Linked DNA regions of Mus musculus. The main gene of each other region encodes a partner of the protein of the gene in region 3 in a complex. Links are inferred from orthologs where the notes say so. Each region holds a gene or a part of one and is shown on either strand. Other genes may lie near its edges.

What was found. The genes of interacting proteins can lie anywhere in the genome.
Region 1: the proteins of Nudt21 (region 3) and Cpsf6 are in contact, whole or in part, in a crystal structure (PDB 3P5T), measured with the Homo sapiens proteins. The link is inferred for Mus musculus from reciprocal best matches to the Homo sapiens genes NUDT21 and CPSF6. Residues at the interface, in NP_008937.1 of Homo sapiens: Pro151, Asn152, Glu154, Pro156, Tyr158, Tyr160, Pro162, Ala163, His164, Ile165, Thr166, Lys167; in NP_008938.2 of Homo sapiens: Trp90, Trp91, Thr92, Thr93, Asp94, Glu95, Lys113, Phe114, Glu116, Asn117, Arg118, Ala119, Asn120, Gly121, Gln122, Ser123.
Region 2: the proteins of Nudt21 (region 3) and Cpsf7 are in contact, whole or in part, in a crystal structure (PDB 3N9U), measured with the Homo sapiens proteins. The link is inferred for Mus musculus from reciprocal best matches to the Homo sapiens genes NUDT21 and CPSF7. Residues at the interface, in NP_008937.1 of Homo sapiens: Arg68, Asn152, Glu154, Pro156, Tyr158, Tyr160, Pro162, Ala163, His164, Ile165, Thr166, Lys167; in NP_001129512.1 of Homo sapiens: Trp91, Trp92, Thr93, Thr94, Asp95, Gln96, Glu112, Lys114, Phe115, Glu117, Asn118, Arg119, Ala120, Asn121, Gly122, Gln123, Ser124.

What each region holds. Positions count from the first base shown.
Region 1 is NC_000076.6:117,356,474-117,359,973, forward strand, and holds part of Cpsf6 (cleavage and polyadenylation specificity factor subunit 6), read right to left. Parts: intron 2,674-3,500; coding exon 2,520-2,673; intron 1-2,519. UniProt on the Homo sapiens protein: Component of the cleavage factor Im (CFIm) complex that functions as an activator of the pre-mRNA 3'-end cleavage and polyadenylation processing required for the maturation of pre-mRNA into functional mRNAs.
Region 2 is NC_000085.6:10,531,744-10,535,243, reverse strand, and holds part of Cpsf7 (cleavage and polyadenylation specificity factor subunit 7), read right to left. Parts: intron 3,464-3,500; coding exon 3,245-3,463; intron 3,114-3,244; exon of another isoform or gene 2,976-3,113; coding exon of another isoform or gene 2,910-2,975; intron 2,425-2,909; coding exon 2,321-2,424; intron 1,952-2,320; coding exon 1,779-1,951; intron 141-1,778; coding exon 1-140.
Region 3 is NC_000074.6:94,030,540-94,034,039, reverse strand, and holds part of Nudt21 (cleavage and polyadenylation specificity factor subunit 5), read left to right. Parts: intron 1-1,537; coding exon 1,538-1,738; intron 1,739-2,832; coding exon 2,833-2,896; intron 2,897-3,500. UniProt on the Homo sapiens protein: Component of the cleavage factor Im (CFIm) complex that functions as an activator of the pre-mRNA 3'-end cleavage and polyadenylation processing required for the maturation of pre-mRNA into functional mRNAs.

The sequences.
Region 1 (3,500 bases), on a different chromosome or scaffold from region 3:
GAAGAAAAGATCGGTGTGCAGAAAGAACGAAAGAAGCGACTTCCTCTGGGAGGTTTTTCCAACAGCAACTGGTACTCTAGAGAGACCTCCTATCTAGACTAGCTGACTGCACCCATCCACGAAGTTCCAAGTTGCAGGAGTAGCAGACCCCTGATTCTGTCTGTATCTAAGTGTGTCTGCCCTTTCTTCATTCCCTTGCAGCCCCTAGTCATGTATCCAGGACCCAGACCACCTAGACTGAGCCAACCATCATGATGAAATACTTTAGTCACCTTGCTCCTTCCTGCCCGCATTGGGAGCCATCCCTCGGCCCACTGCACCCACACTAAATGTTATTTGCCCATTAAGTATTCAGTAGTCTTAAGTATCATGGCAGTTCAGTGCTTATGCTTAAATAATTCTTGGATTATTTAATAATTGCACCAAAGTAGGAGAGTAGTGATGCTGACAATGTGGACATTGTTGTTTCTTTAAATGGAAAAAAAAAAAAAAAGTCATGTTGAAATTGCTAAGGTTTACAATAAGAACCCACGAAACAATGAAGAAAAAAATAAATTTATGCAAATTTTATCATCACATCTTAAAAGCCCAAAAATCATAGTCAAACCTCATAATAATTCCATTCGTTTAAATAAGAATTTATTTAAAAAAAAAAAAAAAGCCGGCAGTGGTGGCGCACGCCTTTAATCCTAGGCACTTGGGAAGCAGAGGCAGGTGGATTTTTGAATTTAAGGCTAGCCTGGTCTACAAAGTGAGTTCCAGGGTTATGCAGAGAAACCCTGTCTCGAGAAAAAAAAAAAAATTATTATCATGTTAATTGCTAAACCAGGCAACTGAACTTAAACATTAAGTGCTAAGCGTCTTGCTCGAGCTAGATGTTCCCACAATGAAGACAATGCATGACATAATCTCTAGTTACAACAAATTTGTTCAGAGATACTTACACTAAACCAAACCGGAACTAACAAAGTAAAACCTGTGTCCCGGGTGAACTCCTTACTCTTACTTAGGATACTACCTCCAGGAAAAGCATACTAAGGGCAGACAGAAGACCATCATTTGGGAAACTGGAGAGATGGCTCAAGGGTTATAAATATTGGCTGCTCTTCCAAAGAACTCATGTTCAATTCTCAGCATCCAAATAGTGGCTCATACCTACCTCTAACTTTAGTTCTGGGGAACCCAAGGCACTTTTCTAGCCTTTGTGGGCACCTAGCATGGGTGATTTATAGCCAGAAATGCAGGCAAAACACCTCCACATATGAAATCAAAATAGTCAAAATGTAGCTGTGTAAGAATGGATAACCAGGCTGATCTCTCTGTAAGTTCAAGGCTAGCCTCATCTACATAGTGAGACCCTGTCTCAAAAGAAGTAATATCATGTAAAGATTAACCATTTACCTCACAAAATATATAAAATTTCACAATTGGTAAAAATGCTTTTAAAAGTAACGCTTAAAAAACAGTATCTAGGGGCTAGAGTGATGGCTCAGTGGTTAAGAGCACTGACTGCTCTTCCAGAGGTCCTGACTTCAATTCGTAGCAACCACATGGTGGCTCACAACCATCTGCAATGGAATCCCATGCCCTCTTTGGGTGTCTGAAGAGAGCAACTTTGTGCTCATATATATAAAATAAACGCATCTTAAAAACACACAAACAAAAACATAGTATCTATTACAGGGTCTGAAAAGATAGCTCAGTGGTTCAGAGGACCAGGGTCCTGGTGCCCACATGATGGCTTACAATCCAGTGTTTGAGGGGACTCAATGAATGCTCTCTTCTGACTTCCTTAGGTACCAGAGAAATACATCCATGTTTGCTCGCAAACCACTGATACATACATTAAACAAATCTAAAGTAAAACTGCACCTATTACAAAATTACCACTCATTCATAACTCCCTCTTTCAAAATCACCCTGTCTCTTATATAAAGCAGTGTTTAACTACTAAAGCCCCTACCTTGTTCAACATGTGTTCACTAAGAAATGGGCATCAATAATGAATAGACAGTTATAGCAAATACTACAAAAGAAATAGACTCTGCAGACTATATTATATTAAAACATGAAGAAATACAGAGGCAAGTAAATGTTGGGGGAGAAGAAAACAACAAGAAAAGTGGTTCCAAGAAGGAATATCAAGCATAAAACTCAGTAAAGTGGCCAAATGCTTGATGTGTCCAGGAGAAGGGCTCATTTGGCTAGGGAACAGTAAGTAAGTATGGGAGTTATGAGAATCAAAGGAGAGATGACATCACGCAGTGTGCTTGAATGTACACAGATGTTTAAGAGTAAAGAGAAGACAGAGTTCCTTGCGTCTCGGGATTTCAATATATCATTCAGAGTTTTTTTTTTTTTTTTTTTTTTTAAATACTGCTAGGTACACAGTAAATAAAATCACAGTTCTATTTTTTTAGAAGTTGCGCGCGCGCGCGCGCGCGTGTGTGTGTGTGTGTGTGTGTGTGTTTGTGTGTTAACTAACAGTTTTAAAAATTCATGAGACAGGAACATTTTACCTGGATCCAGACCCATAGGACTTGGACTCGATTCCATGAAGGCAATCCTGCAGAGAGCTAATAAGAACTTTGCAACGATCATCTGCAGAGACTTTGGATTGTTTAATTAAAGAAATTGCTGTTACCAATGTTTCAATAGCACTCCCATAATCACCTGCAGGAGAAAAAAAAAACAAGGTTAATCATTAAACAAACTTTTGTTTCCAAATTATCTTTTGAGATAGTTCTAGCTGTCCTAGAACTCTCTCTACAGACCAGTCTGGTCTCATACTCAGAAATTTGAATCCTGTACTGGGATTAATAGCATGTGTCACCTCGACCTGACCTGAAAATTGTCTTTTAAGATAACCAGAGACAATGACTTTTGTTCAGTGTTTTGGAATTTGGAAAAGACTCTCATTTTAACAAAGCAATGCAATTAATTGCTTTGTCATGTAGAGAGACAGTTACTATTTTGCAAAGAATAAGCTATACCATAGCTAATATTTATATCTTTTTCATGTGTCCAAGTGTTTTGCCTACATATATGTCTTTGTATCCAAAGAAAAAGTAGTGTCCACTGAGGCCAGATAGGATGTCAGATCCCCTGGAACTGAAGTTATCAAATTTGTGACCCCTACCTACATGGGTGCTGGGAATCAGCCCTTGATCCTATGGAGGAGCAGCCAGTGTAACTCTTAAGCTACCTCTCTAATTCCCAGTTGGAATTAATTTTAACTTTATGTACGTGGCTATTTTACCTGCATGTGTGTGTGTGCACCATGTGTGTGCCTGGTACCCACTGAGCAAAGAGGAGTATACTGGATTTAGTGCACTTCACCACAGAGCCACCTCTTCACCCCCAATAAGCACTGAAATCTAAATCTAGTAATGTAAAATTGGTGGTCTTCCCACTACACTGACATGTATCTTCCTTTATTACTTTAAAACTAAGTGACAGGCCGGGCAGTGGTGGCGCACGCCTGTAATCCCAGCACTTGG
Region 2 (3,500 bases), on a different chromosome or scaffold from region 3:
TGAAGGAGGACGGTTAAAGTAGGGCAACACGCTGGGGGGCTTATCCACACGAGCAGATGAGGGTACAAGATTCTCAGAGGGGGTTGCCCGTCCATCAGCAGAATCACTAGAGTCTCGGGAGTGGGCCCGTGGAGGTATTCCTATAAAGCAAACAGAGCTAATGTTACTGCCCAGGCAAGCTCTGGATATAGCAATAGGACCAGCTCATCTCTCAGCAAGTCTGGTACCACATAAAAGAATACAGGTGAAGCAACTAAGAGAGAAGAAACTAATCATCTGGGGCCTTTCCATTGGTCTCAGAAGAAAGATCAGAAGTATTTTGGTTAAGACAACTCCAAAAAGTAAACAGAACTCTTAAGTCTTGTATGTCAATGGATGCTCTCATCTAGGATCCTCAGTGCTTACAACATATTTAACTCTTAAACTTGTTTCCTATTTTCAAATAAATACACATTCTTCACTTTATTCTTTTCAGTGAAGAAAAGTAACATGCACAAAGAAAGCTGAGAAGAGGTACACTACTCTCAATGTAGCTGTAAAGAGATGTATCTTGGGGAAACCAGGAGAGGGCTGAATACAAATACTATTAAACAGAAGGGATGGGAAAATGTTGAGTTGTCAAGGAAGCTAAGTGTGTGCCTTTTAGCCCAGGGCAATTATAGAACATACCTCATCCATCTAGGCTGTCAACACAAGGGCAGTTGTTTCCATTAAAGAGGTTCTATTTCCTCAGGAAGGACATACCCCATCAACACAAGGAACTACTGTTTTAGAGCTAGGTACAAAGTAGTGACAGCAGGTATGTGATGAAATACTTCTGCTACCACCCATTCTCTGGTAGTGAAAGAAAATGAGGCTGATTGTTTCAGGCAGGCCCTTGCAGGGTAGCTGTACCTTGTGAAGTCAGGATAAGCCAAAATTGGTCCTCAGGGTTAGAAATCTGATTTTAGTAATTCATCAGGGAATAAGCAGACCCTCAGAGACTGAATTATGCCATCCAACTCGATACACAAACCAAAATACTAATTTATTAGTTGATAATGACAAGTATTTACTGCCAAGCAAACTAGAATACCTGTCAGCTGATCAGTGCACCCTCTTCTCAGGAGGAGAGCCTTAGTAGGAGACTAAGGTAGTAAGAGATTGATGAACATACTGAGATTAAAGGGAGTCAGATGAACTGAAGGGAACAAGATATCAGAATGCCGCATTTTAAAGAAAAACTAATGTGACATACTTGCCAGGCCAACTAAGTATTCAATAACTAGAAGTATTTTCTTTTCTCTAGGACAACAATGGAGAAACAACACAACTTTTATTACCTAATACTTCTTATGGTTGATTTTTACAAAGTACACCAAATATATACTCATGATAGGATCACAGCTGCCTTTGTATACCTTAATTACACTTTAGGGTGTCTGCTTTTTGAGATCCACAACTTAAAAAGCAAGCCCATTCATGGTGTGTCCATTTATGGAAGAATACAGAATTGACCAGTGATAGGAACTTTAATCGTTTCTTAGTTCAGATGGGAAAGAGGTCCCAAGAAGTGAACTGAATTGTTCAAAAGGCCAAAAGGAAAAGAGTCAAGGGCAGAACGGACAACCTGAACCTGACTCCCAGCACTGTCCTCTTTACACACATCTCATTCTTAGGCCCACCCACTAATTGTGCCACCAAACCATAACCAACAGCAAGCACCCTTGCCCCAAATCCTCCACATCACAGCAGCAAGCCCACAACTTCCCCCCTTCATACAGATGGTCTCCACGTACCCCCTCTTGGGACTCGGACGCACTCACGTTTCCGAGCCTGAGCCTCAAACTGTGACAAGTTCTGCCGGGTGGCCGGCCTCACATCTACTTTTTCTCCATTAAGAACTTTTCCTGGTAAGAGTTCCAGCAGTTTGTGGACAGAATTTTCAGAGGCTACCACCACCTCAGCATATCTTAAGGAACAAAGTAAAAGAATAATAAAATATTTAGACCCTGGACAAAGAAAGGAAAAGGCATCTTGCTAAATTCTTTAAACATCCCTCCACCCCCACACCCCACTCCCTATCAGCAACAACAAGATGCCACCCTATAGATTTCCTGTTTTTTCCTTACTTTTTGGAATTTAAAATTAACATTCTTTCCCTTCAACAGATGGATGTTCAATTTCATTCCAGCTAGGTCCCAAATCTTTGGCAGTTTGTCAAAACCAAGGTAGTAAGCTAGGCCAGGGTGGAATGGGGTTAGAATGCAAGTTCAAACATAATAGATTTGTCACCCTAATAGTTACAAACTCAAAGGGGCTCCCCAGTTCTAGATCTCACCCTTTAGACTGGCCATTTGCACGATTCTCTGCAAATTTCAACTCCACCACATCATAGACTCCTATAGAGCGGATAACCTGGATCAGCTGCTGGTCTGTGGTCCACTGGGGCCGGCAAGATGGAAAAGGGAGAAATGTCAAGAGCTACATGCCTGTTACCCACCCACCCAGACATTCCAAGTCCTGTTCTCAAATCTAGGACTCCAGCCACAACCATGACCACCCACAGGAAACCCCAAAACCCAGCAATATTTCAATCAGTGCAGGCTTTTCTTATTGTCCTACACATTAAACACATCTAATCCCACAACCCCTATGTTTGGGGATTAAGACTAAAATTTATTTTAATTTTGACTGACATGTGAGCTGGTTGTTCATCATTTCAAACAGATTGCTAACAACTTTAATTACAGATCTGACAGGCTAGAGTTGACCATGCCAGGAATATTCCCATCAGCATATACATTTCCTGATTTGGCACCCTCCCCCCACCAGCCCCAAAACATCTCACACTGTTAACTTTTACAGAATTGTCAGCACATATCCCAAATACACTACAGCTATCAAGGTCTTTGATCCCCATCACCCACCATTATCACAGGACCATCTAATGACCACCAAGAGTTCAAGGTGTTCACTCTGATATCTCGTCCCATAGATGACCCTGCTAGACATAAAGCCCCAGGGTCAGGGGCAGTAATAAGATGGCAGAAAAGGCAACTACCCACTTAATCAATGCTTTCTTCGGCACCAGTACGTCCTCAGGATAGTTCTCTTTCAGAGATCAATCCAACCTGATCCCAGGAAAAAGAAATCCAACCCCATCAGAGCACAAAACAGTGCAACAGTGGTTTCTGAAAATGCCATCACCTCCCAGTGCTCTCCCTCCAGCCCACCCTTGAGATTTTTGGTTATCCTTGCTTACCCAGGAGAAGCTGCCTACATAGACAGCTGCTCGCCGACTCCGCAGGCCACTGTATGTATACAGAATTGCAGGGGTCTTGTTGTTTGGTTTGGGAGCTGGCTCCTGGCGAACAGGAGGGGGTGGTTCCGTGCTACTGCTTCTGTCATCTGAGGGCTGTGAGGCAGCCGTCAACACATCATCATATAGGTCAATCTGATCTGTATTGTTGAACTCCGAGTCCTAAAAGATGAGGGATTGATAATGGAGTCTTCAAACT
Region 3 (3,500 bases):
GTGACAAAACATTTCAGTGTGCACTTTATCCTGAATAAAAGGATTTGGTGTTCTTATTAACAAGCCGCAGCCACTATGCCATGCAGATTCTGAGCTATTCTAATTCAACTAGGCTGCCAATACCCAGCCAAATGGTCTTTTGTCTGAATCTCGCCCTAGCTTAGTCTGGTCCATGTGTGTCCTCATGGCCCTGGTTGCTCTCTCCACCTTCTTCCTTCTCTCTCTCCTTTTGAGACCACATACTGGGATCAGAAGTCCTGCCCTATTCTCTTCTGCCCAGCTGATTGGCAGATCAGCTCTTTATTAACGCATCAGAGGTAATGGAAACCAGTTTTTACATAACATTGAGACTGAAGGTACTTGGCCATGCCATTGTCAGGACTGTAACCAGGTGTCTGGGCATAGAAATCAGCATCTGAGAAGACAGTGCACAAAACCTTCTCCAACCGTGGGAGCTGGAGATTGAATTTAGGTCCTCATGTTTGCTTGACAAGTACTTTACTATCTTCCCAGGCCTATATCAAGGGGTTTTTGGTAGATGAAATACTTTGGGATTAGCCATGTTCAGTCAAAATATTCTTACTGGGGAAAAAAACTATATTCAAGGGGTTGCAAGGTAGACTGTGGTACAGTGTAAATATGGATTTGATCTTTACTAAGCAAGATGAAGTCTGACACCTTAAGTCACAGTTTGGGTTCTCTTACACAAGGCTCAGAGGGAAAGAGAAAACAGGTCTAAGCCACTGGTACTACATGACCTTAATCCCAGCATTTGGGAGGGAGAGGCAGGTGGGTCTCAGTGTTAAAGGCCAACCTGATAAATAAGTGAGTTCCAGGTCAGCTCTATGAAAAAACAAGCAGCCAAAAACTGAAGAAGTAAAGTTGATCCAAAAAAGGAACTAGAAAAATTTGACTATTTGTTAACTGGGAGGAACAGAGAATAATTGGCACCACCAGTGAGGTGGCTCTAAGGATGGGGGTGCTTGCTGCTAAGACTGTTGATGTGAGTTCAGTTCCCCAGAAGCCACATGGTGAAAGGAGAGCACAGACACACATTGTAGAACACCATACATATATGTGTACAAACACTCATTTTTAAAGATATTAAAAGGCAAGCAACTAGAGAGCTGCTGATAGACAGTGGTGGCTCAGCACATAGGAGAAAACAGATTAGCTGTTAGTACAGGTTGGTTAATAGAAGTTGTAACTAGATTAGTCAGAGGAACCAGGCTGCTACTTCTGGTATCAGTGCCATGAAATGATCTAAAGCCAGTATAGATAAACACTTGGCTAAGCATTTCAGGGACCTTAGGGCAGTGTTGTCTGTGACTGAGGAATGGAAGAGCTGGGTTCAGGAATCAGGCAGCAGCAGTACCCTGCTCTCTGCTCTCTCATAGCTGCTTACGAAGCTTTGACTGGTCTGGCACAGTGTAGTTTTGTATGTGTTTGTATGGTTTCTGTATGTGTTGTTTTGAACTGTCCTGGTAAGTAAATAAGAGCATTGGTTCTCATGCTAATGTTTGTATTTGGCTCACAGGTACCCGCTTACCAATTATACTTTTGGTACAAAGGAGCCCCTCTATGAGAAGGACAGCTCTGTTGCAGCCAGATTTCAGCGCATGAGGGAGGAATTTGATAAGATTGGGATGAGAAGGACTGTAGAAGGGGTTCTGATTGTTCATGAACACCGCCTGCCCCACGTGCTCCTGCTGCAGCTGGGGACAACTTTCTTCAAATTGTAAGTAGTGTTAGAAATAACAGCAGGACAACGTGTAAAAAATGACTGTTTTAATGCAGCTTAAAATAAAAGTCTAACCTTTATTTATTTAAACCAGTACCATGAATGAGTCTTTGAAGAAAAGACTTTTCTCCAGTACAATGCTTATTTCCTTTCCATAGAGCTACATTAGGCCAAACTCGATTTCTCAAAGTGATGGGACTATTACTGAATTCAGTTGTTTTCATGTAGCTTAATCACTTGAGCTTATGACTCTAAATATTTACTTGCCCACTGGTCAGATTGTGCCAAAAAGAAAGGCCTTGCCGGGTGGTGCTGGTGCACGCCTTTAATCTCAGCACTCGGGAGGCAGAGGCAGGCGGATTTCTGAGTTCCAGGACAGCCAGGGCTACACAGAGAAACCCTGTCTTGAAAAACAAACAAACAAACAAACAAACAAACAAACAAACAAAAAAAAGAGAGAAAGAAAGGCCTCAAAACTAAATTGATAGTCTTGAAAAATGTCCCATTCGGGACTACAGAGATGGCTCAGTGGTTAAGAGCACTGACTGCTCTTCTGAAGGTCCTCAGTTGAATTCCTAGCAACCACATGGTGGCTCACAACCATCTGTAATGAGATCTGATGGGGGACCAGAGATTCAATTCCCAGCAACCACAAGATGGCTCACAACCATATGTACATCTACAGTGTACTCATATACATAAAATAAATAAATAATTCTTAAAAAAAAGAAAATGTCCCCATTCTTCAGATCTAAGAATGCAGTCTGTTCTCTGGGTATTTGTTTGCTAAACTCCATTAAATCTAGCTTTCCTTTGAGGAGGCTGACATGGATTGTTGGCCAGTGATTGTGCTCATTATATATACACTAGTTTTGCTGTTTAAACTTAGGATTGTATACAGTGGTCTGGTACTTAATATTATAGATTCAACTTCCCAGCACAGCCTCCACCTTTGGCCCTTGTTTTGATGGCTTATCAGATGTCACTGGAATGTGTCTTCTCAGTTACCCGATTGAAGTGATGATAGTTGTGTTCTTGCTGTTATCCCCAAATTGTATTCAATTGTAACGTGAACTTGTTAACTTTTACAGACCTGGTGGGGAACTTAACCCAGGAGAAGATGAAGTTGAAGGACTAAAACGCTTAATGACAGAGGTATTTTTCTGTTTAACCACTTTCACAATTCTATTGCCCATCTGAATACTATCTACTTAATAAATAATCAAATTCTCATGTGTCTTGTAGAAATAAATTTAATTTGAGCAGTTTTTAGTCAGTAAGTAGAACTTAAATCTGAATTAGTATAAATTGTTTTCTGGAAAATAAATATGTCTGAGATCTTAAGCTGAGATCAAAGGATTATCTTGTTCAAGACCATTTAGGTTACATAGTGAGTTCTAGGCCAGCTGGGCCACACAGAGTGAGACCCAATTGCTAAATAAACTAAAATGTCGATGAAACAATAATGCTCAGGTGCCGCTTTGGTAGCGGTTTCCGAGGAAAGCTACTCACGTTTCCTCTGGTTCTTCTGAAAACTACCAAAACGTCAGGAGAAAGGTCATTTTTTTTTTTTAAAGGTATAAAATTCAGTAGTGTTTATGGAATGCAAAAATGAGACCTTAACAAAAAGATGAAGTCATAACTAAGCGAGAGCCAGAAGGCTGTGGAGCACACCACAGCAGACTCAGCAGAAATGGAGCTCAGCAGGATGTCCGTCAGAAACGCAGCGGAGAAGAACGGAGAGGCTGAGGGATTGCCC